Oryctolagus cuniculus: one gene and its partner. The protein of the gene in region 1 purifies or fractionates together with the protein of each later gene. This does not show direct contact. Links are inferred from orthologs where the notes say so. Each region holds a gene or a part of one and is shown on either strand. Other genes may lie near its edges.

Region 1 (6,835 bases):
GTGTTAACGAGATCAGGGGTTAGAGAGCCCCACAGCCACCCCAGCAGAATGAGGGGCGCCACGGAGACCTCTCGTGTCGCTCCGTGCGCTGTGTCCGCTGACCTCCACCCGGAGTGCCCGCGCCCGGGCCCCTCAAAGGGTTGGGATTAGGGTGAGCGCGTGCCTCAGGCGCAAAACTTCAGGGGTGTGTGTGTGTGTGAAAAAGTTACTGATCAAAATAAATGTCTTAAAGCCATGTATCAAAAACGCGAAAGTGCACGATGAACGAAATAGTCCATTTTAAGTCGACACAGGAGCACTGCAGAGTCGTGCTGAGCCACCTTGGAGCCCCAGAACATAAGGATTCTGCCCCGGACAAGCCACAGGCCAGGCCCCCGGGTGGGGGATTCGGGGCGCTGAGGGCGGGGTGGTGGGGCGCAGGTCGGTGGCCTCGGAAATGGAGGCCCCGCTGAGCCCCGGTTGGGGCCTGGGGCGAATGGCCCCGGGGGCCGGAGGTGAGAGCTCCGGAAAGCCGCGCAGCCGGGAACAAAAGCCCGGAGCAGGGCGAGCGGGGAGGGCCCAGCCGGGGCGGGAGGGGCCGGCGCGCGACCCAGCTACCGGGACTCGCGGCGCGTCCTGTAATTCCCTAGCTCGGTGATTAATTCTCCCCTAACAAGGCTTGGCAAGATGTCGGCCGAATAATTTTTGGCTTCTGGAAGGGCCCCACCGCGTGCGCGCACAACCCCGGTGTCAAAGAGGCCTCGGGGAAATTAAATGCATAAGTAAAGCCGGGCGGGGGTGTGTGTGGGGGGGGATGCTACGTGACCTGGAAGGAAGGCGGGAGGCCGGGAACCCTGCGTGGGGCCCGCGGCTCGCTCAATCCTTCCCAAAGGTCAGCGCACGGCCGCGCCTCGGGGTTTCGCCCCACACCCAACGCGGACCCCATCTTTGTGCCCTGCGGAGCCGGTCCACACGCGCGCAGAAAGGGGAGGAGAGCCTCCGCCCGCCAGGGTTAAATAAACATCTTTTAGGAAGCGCGGCGCACACCACCACCATTCGGCCCATGCGCGCCTCCCTCCGGGTGGTCCACGGCAGCCCGGCACCTCTCGCCGTTACGGGGCTACGGGGGGCGGGGAGGGCTTTCTCTTTCCTCTTGTAAAAGGGGCTTGCCCACGTTCCTCGGAAGCCGTAAAGCTGATCTCACGACGCGAGATAAACTCAGTCACCCGCTAACGCCTGCGTAAAGAGCGCGCCTGGCTGGCCCGGGCGCGCACGCTGAGCTCCGGGGAGCGGAGTCCCGGGCCGCGCCGGAGGGAGGAGGAAGGGGAGGGGGCGCGCCGCGTTCCCCTCTCCCTTGGGGCTCTGGGGAGAAACCTGCGGCTGAGTTAGGGGCGCGGCGGGGCGGGGGGAGAGCATGGAGACAAAGGGGAAGCAGCCTGGAGCTTCGTCCTGGACTCGGCGGCGCCGGAGTCCGGGCCGGCTGTTTGTTTCCATTGCACCGAACCTCGCGCGGCCCGGGAAGCGGCGGCCCCGCTGCTCGTGTCGAGCGGGAGGCGCGCGGCGGGCTCCGGGCCCGCGGGCGGAGCGGCGGCTCCATTCACAAAAGTCCAGGCGCCGCCGCCACCGCCGCTCGCCGGCGGCTCGGAGGCCGCTCCCTCTTCCGCTGGGTCTCCGTTTTATGAATGGGCCTGGCGGCGCGCACCGAGCGGCCTGTTTACTCCGCTCTTTGTGACGTCGCGGCCCCGTGACCAGGCGCGAGCGGCCGGCGCTCCATTCACGCGCCCGGGAGGGCTGCGATCGGGGGGGGGGGGGGGGGGGAGGGCGCGGGGCCGGGCCTGGGAGGGGGCGGAGCCTCGCAAGGTAGTATTGAGTTCCCTCCCCGGGGTGGGGGGAGCCGAGGAGCATTAATAAATCTATAAGCCGAGGAGGAAGCGCGGCCGGGCGGTGCGCCGAGCTCCGGCTGTGCTTGGGGGCCCGCGCACCGGCGGGAACAGTACGGCCGGCTAAGCCCACGAGAGGCGGCAGCGAGCGGGAGCCGCGATCTCTCCGTACACGCACTCCCCGCCACTGCTGCCACCGCCACCAGCGCCTCCCCAGCGAGCCGCCTACCGGGAGCCCGGGACCGCTGCGCTGCGCCTGCTATGTAACCGCGAAGCTGCGGGAGGAAGGGGACTGCGAGAAGAGGCTGCCCACGGCGGCACAAGTTTGCGGCCACTTGTGCAGGCGCCCGCGCGCAGCCTCGCCGGCCCGGGGGCCCTCCGCTCCCCCTCGCGCGCCCCGCAGCCGCGCTGACCGGCCGGCATGGTGACGATGGAGGAGCTGCGGGAGATGGACTGCAGCGTGCTGAAGAGGCTGTTGAACCGGGACGAGAGCGGCGGCGGCGCCCTGGGGCTGCTGGGCGGCGGCAAGTGCCTGCTGCTGGACTGCAGACCGTTCCTGGCGCACAGCGCGGGCTACATCCGCGGCTCGGTCAACGTGCGCTGTAACACCATCGTGCGGCGGCGGGCCAAGGGCTCCGTGAGCCTGGAGCAGATCCTGCCCGCCGAGGAGGAGGTGCGCGCCCGGCTGCGCTCCGGCCTCTACTCGGCCGTCATCGTCTACGACGAGCGGAGCCCGCGCGCCGAGAGCCTCCGGGAGGACAGCACCGTGTCGCTGGTCGTGCAGGCGCTGCGCCGCAACGCCGAGCGCACGGACATCTGCCTGCTCAAAGGTACACGCGGGCGCCCACCGCGCGAGCGGGGAGGGCAGGGGCGTGGGGACCGAATACCCGGGGCGACTTCGTTGGCCGTGGGGAGCCCCGCGCGCTCCTTGGCGCGCGTGTTGGTGTGTAGTGCGTGGGTTTGCAAAGGGTCGTGCGTCTCTGCGCGTGCGAGCTCCGAGTTCCTGGGGACCGTGCGGCTGCGTTTCCCGGGTCACCTGCCATTCCGAAGGCGTCGCGGCGACACCGTGTTTGCTTACACTCTAACGGTTCTGGCCTCGCGGGTGAGGCGACTCTGCTGGAGTCCTGGCGGGGAGTGCTCCCCGGTGCCACCGAGTGCCCTGCCCCGAGTCCTAACCCCCCCGGGGGTGAGGGAGGGGAGTGAGCGCCGAGACTGGCTGTGTCCCTTGGGCTCAGTGGGAAGCGATCCTCGCGTCCCGTCTCCCACTGCCCAACTCCAGGCGCCGCGTGGGAAGTGGCAGGTTGCTTCCGCGCTGGGCTAGTCCCAGACTCGGGGACGCGGGGCCAGAACCGTGCAAACCCGGGCGGTGGAGACTCGAGACCTTTTGTTCAGCTACGAGTCTCCCTGGCTGTCTGATGGTGGCGCGTGTCTGCGCGAAGTGAACCCTGGCCAAACTCTTGGCAGCAGCGGCAGCAGGGTCCCGCGTGCTCTGGAAGTCGCTGGAGCGGCGGCGCGCTGGCCGCACCTGCCGGGCCAGGGGCCGGGGAGTCCCCTGCCGCGCTGCGCCCCCCCACCCCGCCCCGGGCCGCCGCATTCCGCACATTCTTTGGCCGCGCCGGGTCTTCGCTTCCGACCCGGAGAGGCGTTTCCTAGCCGCGCCATCAAAGAGCCGCCCCTCTCCCTGCAGGCGCCCTAAGCCCCCTCTCTCCTCGCCTCTCCCCTCGGGACCTGTTCGCCCGGGAGGAAGGGAGATGGGCGGGGGAGAGGGGCGGAAAACCTCTCCCCACCGCCCCCTCCCCGCCGCACTGCCGCGTAGCTCCTTGCCTGCGAGCCGGGCCGCCCCTGTGGACAGCGGGGGGCTTTGTCCTGCGTCGTTGTTTGCTGACCGTTTGACCTGTCAGCTGCCGGGGAAAGGCCGCTGTTGACCTTTGGTTGAACCGCTAAGGCGATTTTGCTGATTTTTCCTTTTCCCTAAGGGTCGCCTTTTGCCCCTCCGCTGCAGCCTATACCCCCAAATCTCCCCAAGGCGCTTTAAGAGACGGCGCGGGGGAAGCCGCTCGCCCTGCCAGGCCCTGCGGTGCCGGGGTCCCCGCGCCGCAGGTGCCTAGGAGACCTCCTGGGCGAGCGTCTGCGCCATTGTCGGAGCGCTCCCAGTCCCCCGGAGCCGCGAGCCCTCCCGGCCCCGCTGGTTCGGAGCCGGAGCGCGCGCGTCTCTTCGCGGACCTCTGGCCGGACGCAGCAGCGCGAGAACGCTGAGGGGGCTGGCGCTGGGCTCCGGCCCCACGTGCAGCCGGCGTCTGTTTTGTTTTGTTTTCCTTCCTGGAAGAAATCCGGAGGCGACCGCCCCGGAGCGGCAGCGCGGGGGCTGGAGCCCTGGGGCTTCCGGGACACAGTGATTTAGGTCCTGTCCCCCGGGCTATCAGCCAGAATCCCATCCCGAGACGCCGAGCCAGACCCGGTCTGAGCCAGGCAAATACTGATGAGACGCCAGGCCGTTTCTGGGGAAAATGACAGTGTCCCGGCGGCGTGGCGAGGTGCCTGGCCTGCGGAGAGGGCGATCCTACCGAGGCCTGCACCGCCTGCGACCCTACGCGCGCCACAGGGGGCATCCCAGGGATGGAGATCGAGGGGGAGTCCTGGGCAGCAGGTTTAGCTGCTGACTCGCCAGGGACAGCTGCTCCCCTAACCCCAACCCCAACCGAAGCCGGGGGTTGGAGCTGCGTCTTCAGGAGCAAAGAGAGCAAAGCGCCTCCAGGGCGCGGGGCTGTCCAGCCTGATGGGGGAGGTGACCTGGGCTGCGTTCCGTTCCGTTCCGTTCTGATGTCACTCAGGCCCTTTGTCCTCTCGGCCCTCAGGGTGCGGAAGGCATCCCTGGAGAGGGCGGGAAGGAAACAGCCCGGATCTGCCCCCACACCCCGCGGGAAGGTGCAGCGGCATCTAAAGGGAAGCAAAAACCCCTTGGGTAGTCTTCCGCGAGCCTCGCTTGATAGCGGTCTGGGTAATGTGGTTCCCACCGGAGTTGCTCATTTGACTTTCCTGTTCGGAAGTGGGGCCTTTATTATGTCTTATTCGCGCGCATGGGAGGCGAGTGGCCGTGGGCAGCACAGCCAGCAGGCGGGGCCGGATGGCCGATGACTGCCCTGCGTGGCCAAACAGGGTGACAGTGAAAGCGACGGGATATCTTCAGAAGTGATACCATTCTTCCCAGCGAAGACTCATCTCGTTCTACTAATTAATTGCGTGCAAAAATCCAGTTTTCCTGTTTCCACCACTGCAGGTGGTAACTGATTCCACAGGAGAATTCGGGAAGACAAGAGTAAAGGCTTACCAGAGTTCCGTGGGGCCCTTACAGATCCTATTATTACCCCAGTTTTGTTAAGAGCAGTAACTACAATTCTACAGTGTTTTCTGCATTGTTGCCGGTAAAAGAGTCCCATTGGAGTAATTTCTTAAAACATTTTAATTGAAATCCTGTAAGGAATTTTTAGGGACAATTGAGGGATTTCGGTATTTTTTATATAAAATCCCAGTACACATCTTTAGAATCCCTTTTCTCTCTCTCCTTCTTAAATCTGACATAGAATTTTAATTCCTGGTTGAGAGAAAGACAGGAGTATCTTCTTACCCTAAGCTTAGCCAGAAGTTATTTCTTACCTCCAATATTCCCAAATAACTATTATTATTGTTGTTGTTGTTATGCAAGGAGATTGCGAGTATAACAACTTTATCTTCCTTCCTAAGATTCACCTGTTTCCCTCCAGGTTGAATTTCCTGTGCCCCTTGTGGTACACTAGGATACCTATCTCTTTCCGGAGCCCACCATGAATGACAGGCAGGGATTGGCAGGCCAGGCTGGGGACTGTCATCTCCATGTGGCTGTGTCTTTATCTCTGCTTCCCCTGGGGGGAGGATGAGCTTACTCACTTTCTGTGTGCCCAGGGGAAAGGATGTTTTTCCTGTACAAATACAACACCGTGTGTGCTCTGGACAGCGGAGGCCTGGAGAGTTAGTATTGTAAAAGGGTGGAGCTGCGGCCACTGCCTGTGATGCCAGCATCCCATATGGGCGCCAGTTCAAGTCCAGGCTGTTCCACTTCCGATCCAGCTCCCTGCTAATGCACCTGGAAAAGCTTCGAAAGGTGGCTTAAGTCCTTGGGCCCCTGTACCCTTGGGGGAGACCTGGAAGAAGCTCTTGGCTCCTGGCTTCAGCCTGGCCCAGCTCTGACCTCTGCCATCATTCGGGGAGTGATCCAGCAGATGGAAAATTAATCCCCTCCCCTTAACTCTGCCTTTCAAATAAATAAACACATCTTTTAAAAAACATGGTGGGCCTGAAAGAGGAGATTATCAGGGAAAAAGCAAAGGCATCCTTTGAATTGGGTTTGCAACTAAGAGAAGTAGCCCCAGCCGGGGCTGAAGTGTGACCCGAGAGTGGCCACTTCCCTAGGAGAACTCTGGGCTTCCTGGGGCAGACACCTAAGGTGGCCGGCTGAAGGAGCCCAGGGCTGTCTTCTAGAACTCTGCACGTCTGAAACCAGAGAGCCAGCTTCCTTAGCGGGCGCCGCTCCCGGCTAACAAAGAGGAAGCGTGACAGGAAGCAAAGTTCATTCTCTAACGGAAGCCAGCGAGCCGAATGCTGCAGAGAGCATGCGGGACCTGGGGCGAGGCTGGGGGCGGCTGCAGGCTCTGGGGGTCCCCCAGGTGAATTTTAAGTGTTGCCCAGCATTCCCGCGGCTGCTAACCAGGTCAGTACCCGCAAAAGGCAAGTTCTAATCAGCAGTGACCTTCAAATAACCCCAGGCTTATTTGCTGAGCCAGAGGAGCAGGGCCATGAAGCTGTGAGAACAGGTGATACTGTGAGCACAGAGAGGGTCATGGGAAAAGTCTGGCCATCCCATGAAGAGCTGTGTGCCCATCGGTTATCTCTGCTCCTGCAGGGACAGAGGCCACCAGCAGTGCACAATCTATGGCCAGGGA
Region 2 (6,814 bases), on another chromosome or scaffold:
CCTCCATTTTCATTTCTTTCACAAAGTCTCTGAGAGCAGCAAGTCTCCTTAGAAAGCATGGTGTTGTAGGATGAACAGAATCTACCATTAAAACAATAACAATCTTGAGCTTATGGTTATGCTTTTCTTTTCTAGTCTGGCTAACTCAACAATGTTCTCTGCTAACAACTAACAGAAGCCTAACTTTCACTGCTGTTCTGGACCCCAGCTTCTTTCTGAAGAAACACCTAATTGGGAACAAACTTCTATTTAAAAAAAAAAAAAAAAAAAGGCATTCCGACAGCCTCAGTTTATAGTTGTAGAACCACCTTGCTTAAGACTCCAAAGTCAGCTAAGTAACAAGTGAACCTAGGTCTGCTCCCAGACCATATTATTTCAATACTCTTGTCAACTTTCAGGTAGTAAAATCTCTTGAATCAGAACTCATTTCTGAAATCAAATTCAAGTTAACCTGCATTAGCGTAAGAATGCAAAGCTTCTAAATATTCAGGTAAAGAGTTCATGACTAAGACAATAAGCATCACAGCTCACTAAAATAGGCAAATGATTCATATCTAAAGTTACACGGTTATAATGACTTCCTTGCATTACATGAATCAGAAAGGCTACTGCCCGTACCAAGGACTTGACCAGAGACCTCGAGAGAGCCGGCATCCTAAAGCCAGACACTATTTCATTCTTCCACACGTGCAACAAAGCATCTCAACCACGCAGATGACTCAAATATGTCAAAACTCAGCGTGATGGCAAAGCCCCAACCGAGGCAGGCGCCTACTCAACAACCTTAATTACCACCAGGATAGTTTGTGACTAGTCATTTAATAACAAATTACTTCAAGTTGTTTCACTAAACACCGTGGATCACCACAGGTCATTTCCGTAATATAAAGTAAGGGTATACTGAAGATTCTAGGTGAATTAATTTTGATACAATTTACTCTTCCTCTGAGTCCTTTTCCAATGTGAAGAGGTATGAAGGACAGTTTCCTGTTCCTCCAGGACACTCAAAGGTGCCCTTTGCAAAGTCATTAAAGGCATGGATTTAGTTAACAGAAGCAGCGCCATCTCTCCCTTTAAAACATTTTTCAAATGCTGAGTGATTGCTAATAGGCATGGGGTTTCTTCCCTGGCTGATGACAATACTCTGGAATTTAAAAGCAGTGATCAATATATAACTTTGTGAACATACTAAAAAAACACTGAAATGGAACACTCTAAAAGGATGAATTTTATGATATGTGAATTAAATGTAAAGAATGCTATTAAAAAAAAATTTAGGGAAAAAAAAGCAGCCACAACTCTAGTTCTTTAAATTGCCTGACCAAAGGGTTTTTATCAGTAAGCCCTACTGGATCCTGACATCTGACTAACTTGGTAAAGCAATTAAAATTTGGTATCTCAAGATTATCATTCCGTATTTTAATAAAGTATCACTTTATTATTTCTTCATTTCTACTAGACATCAAACAGTAAGTTCACCTCAACTTCTTTCATATCAAAACAAATGTGAAAATGTACTTAGCAGTGAGTGGGAAACAGCTATAACTTGAATAATTAGGTATTATTTTGAGTTTTAGTCCCACATGCGTCATGAAGTGTTAATATAAGGAGTTAAACATTTCCAATTAATGCTTCTAAAATCCTATTAGAAGTTACATATTTCTAATAAAACATTTACACAGTCTATATCCTTTTTTCTAGCTTTTCTACTGAAAGAAGTAGTCAAAAACCTCTCAATACTTACAAGAAGATAAACGCAATCATTTCAGCCTCCTACTAAAATACCACTCTGTGTGTGTGTACACGTACACGACACGCCTTGGCCCCTACAATCCAACTTACTTTATGAATCACCAGAAAACACTTAGACAAGGTTTTATTTTAGGATAGTGGATGGCCTAGAAGTGACGGGGGGTGGGGGGGGATGGGGGGGAATGACACCAAAGTGACTCAAAAGCCCATAACCCATCTCCTATTATATGAAACCGATCGTTTGGCTATGTGGAAGAGAATCGCAGGAACCTTCCGCAAACCATATGAACGTTAATAAAAGTTGTATTGAGCACTTACTATTTCCCCGGCTAGAAAAAGAGAAACAGATGGAAGACAGGCCTGCTCTCCAGGAAGTCCCAGGCTTTAGTCAGACTCAGCACCACAGCCTCGGACCTCCTGGGTTTCACGTTAACCGCGGCGGCCGGGTCTGAGGTAGCCATCCCAAATGACCACAGGGCTCGAAGACTGGGCAAAAAAAATAAAAAATTTTTTGAAAGTAAAAACTATTGTGGATTTAGATCAAAGATAACTATCTCCTCGTATAACATTTTACTTGAACTTCCAGAGATTCTGTTAAAAACTAGTAAAATGACCCAGCGCACAACTCTACCTCCACACACGCATCGCTTATATAACCATCTCATTTAAAGGCACATCTGCTACACTGCAACCAAGGCTTCCTCCTCCACTGAGGGCCGTCTTCCCTTTACATGCAAACCTCTCCCCTGTGGGCGCAGTAGGGAGCAGCTGCCGAATGAATGAATGAATGAATGAATGGAACACACGCGCGCGCGCACACACACACACACACACACACACGGATGTTCTCGCTTCAAGCAGGCACTGGATGCTTAGCTGACAGACCAGAATTCCACCGGAAAGACCACCGCATCTACAAACAGCGACCACCGGACATTGTCTCCTACCGCGCGGTCAACACGGCGATCCACGCACAGTACAGACGCGAGGGGGAACTTGAAGACGCCACAGTGTCCAAGGCGGCCTCGCTTCCACCACCCGCCGGGGGTCGGGAACGCCAGCGCAGACAAAGCGACGGCACGGTGGGGAGAAGCAGCCCAGAGGTCACCACCGAAGTGACCCGCAGCGGGGACACGCGCGCTGGCCACGCAGGCTCGGGGCCGGGATCGAGGGGCACCCTCCACGCACGGGCCGCGGGGCCTGGCCTCCCCCAGGCCGCCTTCGACTAGGAAGCCCGCGCACAAAGGAACCTCGCCGAGCGACACGCGCACACACACACGGTCCCCGTGGGCGCCGGGGCGGGCGCGCGGACCCTGTCGCCAGCGCGCCGGCCCCCGGCGCCGGGGAGTCGGCTGCGCGCCGCGGGCCGCCCGGGCCCCCTTCGCCCAAGTGCTTCCCAAGTTGCCGCCCACCCCCATCTTCTCCTCCCGACGCGCAAGCGGGACCCCCGCGAGGAGGGCGTGCAACGACAGCGACGCGCGCGCGCGGGCCGGGCCGGGCCGGGCCGGGCCGAGCCGACCCGGGGCGCCGAGCCGGGGCGCGCGTCCGGCGCCCGCGGCCCCACGCCCCCCGCGGCCGCCCCCGCCTCCGGGGCCGCTATTGTTCCCGCGCCGCCCCCGCCCGCCGCGCGCGCCCGCCCCCACGCCCGGGGAGGGGTTCACGGCTGAGGAGAAGGCGGCGGCGGCCGCACAATAACATAAACACGGCGGGGCCGCCGGCAGCCGCGGCGCCCGCCACACTCACCCGGCAGCGCGGCGAACAGCGACGGGGAAGCCCGCCGGCGGGCACGGGCGCCGTCCGGGCGGTCGCCGCGGCCGTTACCCAGCGCAGCTCGCGGCTCCGCGCTCCAGGCTGCGTCGTCCGGCCTCGGCCGCTCCGCTGAGTAACAGGGACGCGCGGGCCGTCACCGCGCACGCCCGCCCACGTCATCGCGCAGAGCCCCGCCCCCCGCGCCTCCGAGCGGCCCGCGGGGCGGGGCGCCCCGGGGCCCGGATTGCGGGGGCGGGGCCGCGGCCCGGGGGCGGGGCTACCCGCCGCGGAGGTCGCCAGGAGGAGGAGCCCCCGGAGCGCCGCCCGACAGCCGCGTGCGAGGGGCGTGGCCGCGGGCCGGTGCGGGCGGGGTCCCGGTGGCGGCACGTGGCGGCGCGTGGCCCGGGCGGGTGGCGGCTGCCCCGCGGCGGTCCGCTGATGCGCGCCTGCACCTGCAGGGCTCCTCGCCCCGGGCGTGGAAGGTCATACCAACCCGGCGAGCAGGTGCACCCACTTGGGCGCACACCTGGGAGACCGGAGCCGGTTACCGTGACCGACTGGACTCTGCATACTGAGGACACCCGCCTGGGGCCCGGCGTCCGGAGGCAAATCCAAGGCCTTTATTAGCCTCCTGTTTGTTTTCTGAAAACGCACCTAGTCCGGATTCCTTGCATTGCCGGGTTTACAGCTGAAGCTCCTCAGAGAAATTGACAGGTCCTTAAAGACCCAACAACAGGAGGAAGGCACCTGCGTTACTGTCAGGCGTGCTATAGAGCACGTTTTAGGAATGTGTTCGAGGAAGTGTTACCAAATTGGGAAAGACAAAGAAGCAACAAGGACACCCACATACACGGAGTGATCCGTGTCAGTACTGCCTAGTACCTAGGGGGAAAAAACTGGAAAGAAATGTGCCAGGGGCCGGCGCGGTGGCTTAGGCGGTAAAGCTGCTGCCTGCGATGCGGGCATCCCATATGAGCTCCTGTCCGAGTCCTGGCTGCTCCACTTCGCATCCAGCTCCCTGCTAATGGCCTGGGAAAGCAGCAGAGGATGGCCCAAGTGCTTGGGCCCCTGCATGCACATGGGAGACCCAGAAGAAGCTCCGGATCCCTAGGTCCGGACTGGCACAGCTCCACCTCCAGCCATTGCGACCATCTGGGGAGTGAACCAGCAGATGGATCTCTCTCTCTCTCCCTGTAACTCTGCCTTTCAAATAAATAAGTAAATTTTTTAAAAAGAGAAATGTGCCAGATTATTTTAACATCTGTTCATCATTAGACAGAGTGAAGGGTGATTTGGGTCTTTGTTATACTGTGGGTATAACAAACCCCACGCCTAGTACAGCCATACTGGCCCTGCTGAAGGTCTTTCTTTCTGACAGGTTCTGCAGTGGGGGTGGGGGTGGTTGGGGGGAGTGGCATAGTCAGAATGACATCTTTTTTTATTTTTTATTTTTGACAGGCAAAGTTATAGACAGTGAGAGAGACAGAGAGAAAGGTCTTCCTTCCATTGGTTCACTCCCCAAATGGCCGCTACAGCTGGTCTGCGCTGATCCGAAGCCAGGAGCCAGGTGCTTCCTCCTGGTCTCCCCTGTGGGTGCAGGCACCCAAGCACTTGGGCCATCCTCCACTGCCTTCCTGGGCCACAGCAGAGAGCTGGATTGGAAGAGGAGCAACCGGGACTAAAACCCGGTGCCCATATGGGATGCGAGCGTCGCAGGTGGAGGATTAACCAAGTGATCCACAGCTCAGAATGTCCTCAGAATGACATCTTGAAAAGAGTCCTATTAGGGGCCTGTGCTGTGGTGTGCAGGTTAAGCCATAGCCTGCAGCACCAGCATCCCATATGGACACCAGTTCAAGTCTCGGTTGTTCCACTTCTGATCCAGCTCTCAGCTAATGTACCTGGGAAAGCAGTGGAAGATGGCCCAAGTGCTTGGGCCCCTGCACCCATATGGGAGACCTAGATGACGCCTCTGACTCTTGTCTCCTGGCTTCAGCCTGGCCCAACCCCAGCTGTTGCAGCCATTTGGGGAATGAACCAGTGGATAGAAGCTCTATCTTTCTCACTTCATCTCTCCTTCTCTCGCTGTAACGAAAAGAAAGGTCCTATTGGAAGGAAGTCACTTGATTGTAGGAGTGACTTAGATAGCAAAAGGTGGAGACCCAGTCTAGGCTTGTTGTCATGGAAACAGTAAGTAGAAGGACCGGAGGACTGTTGGAACATCCAGTGTGCACAGCTTGCACGTTTTGCAAGTGGTGGGTGAGAGGGGATCATCTTGGGACTCTCGTAGGCTTCTGGCCTGTGGCCAAGGATAGAAGCTGGTGCTGATCCTGCAATGTGGGACTCTTGGAGCAGGCCCAGTGCGGCGGGGGGAAGATCATGAGAGCAGATTCGCTGGTGGTCTGACCACTATTGATATGCCCGAAAGAATTGCCTAGTTGGCAGTTGTACTGACACGGCTGGGGCTTGCTAGGTAAGAGATGAATCACTGACCAAAGGAGTGACCTAAAGCCTAGGGTGTGGACGAGTGAGCCTAGGCCATGGAGAGACAGTGTAGTGTAGTGTGTGAGAAGAGGGCCTAGAGCCAGGCACTGAGCAGCCGTGATAAGGAAGATGAGCCTGTTACAGAACTACCAGGGACATAGAAGAAAAACAGCGAGAGAAAGGGGTGACCAATAATATCAACATGAGGGGTGAGATAAGTTGTGAGCAACCAGGACTCCAACCCCCACCCCCATATGAGAGGGGTTGGAGTTCTGGTTGCTCCACTTGCAATCCAGTTGCCTGCTAATGCTCCTGGGAAAACAGTGGAGGATGGACCAAGTGCTTGGGCCCCTGCCACCCACATGGGAGACCAGCATGGAGATCCAGACTCCTGGCTTTGGTTTATCCCAGCCCTGACTGTTGCAGTCATTTGGGAGTGAACCAAAAAAGGGAAGATTCTCTCTCTCTCTCTCTCTTTCTCCCTCTCTCTCTCCCTTCTAAATAAATTAATAAATCTTTAAAAAAAAAAAACCCACACTGTGCCCCCACAAATATGCACAATGGTCTTGTGATAATTTTTTTAACCTTTAAAGATAATTCGGTGGGAAGTTTCAACAGCTCCTTAGCTCTGTTCCTAAAGCAGATTCCCAGATGACAGCTTCACTTCTGAGGGTAGGTTTATTGCCCCTCTTGCTAAAACCCTGCAGGTTGGCACAGCTGGTCAGCCTGCCCAGTTCAGGGCTTATTATAGGAAGGGGAGGCAAGTGGGAAAGAGTTGCGTTTCAGGACTTGGGAAATAAGAGAGGGAAGAGCTATGACCCTTGTGGGT

Evidence for each region. Proteins that work in one complex are often made in the same cells at the same time.
Region 2: the proteins of DUSP4 (region 1) and MAPK8 purify together in Homo sapiens (affinity purification with western blotting; 3 studies listed by BioGRID and IntAct, with this or other methods). This does not show direct contact. The link is inferred for Oryctolagus cuniculus from reciprocal best matches to the Homo sapiens genes DUSP4 and MAPK8.

What each region holds. Positions count from the first base shown.
Region 1 is NC_091433.1:79,441,632-79,448,466, reverse strand, and holds the start of DUSP4 (dual specificity protein phosphatase 4), read left to right. Parts: upstream 1-2,139; 5' UTR 2,140-2,280; coding exon 2,281-2,689; intron 2,690-6,835. UniProt on the Homo sapiens protein: Regulates mitogenic signal transduction by dephosphorylating both Thr and Tyr residues on MAP kinases ERK1 and ERK2.
Region 2 is NC_091446.1:81,310,210-81,317,023, reverse strand, and holds the start of MAPK8 (mitogen-activated protein kinase 8), read right to left. Parts: upstream 3,697-6,814; 5' UTR 3,496-3,696; intron 1-3,495. UniProt on the Homo sapiens protein: Serine/threonine-protein kinase involved in various processes such as cell proliferation, differentiation, migration, transformation and programmed cell death.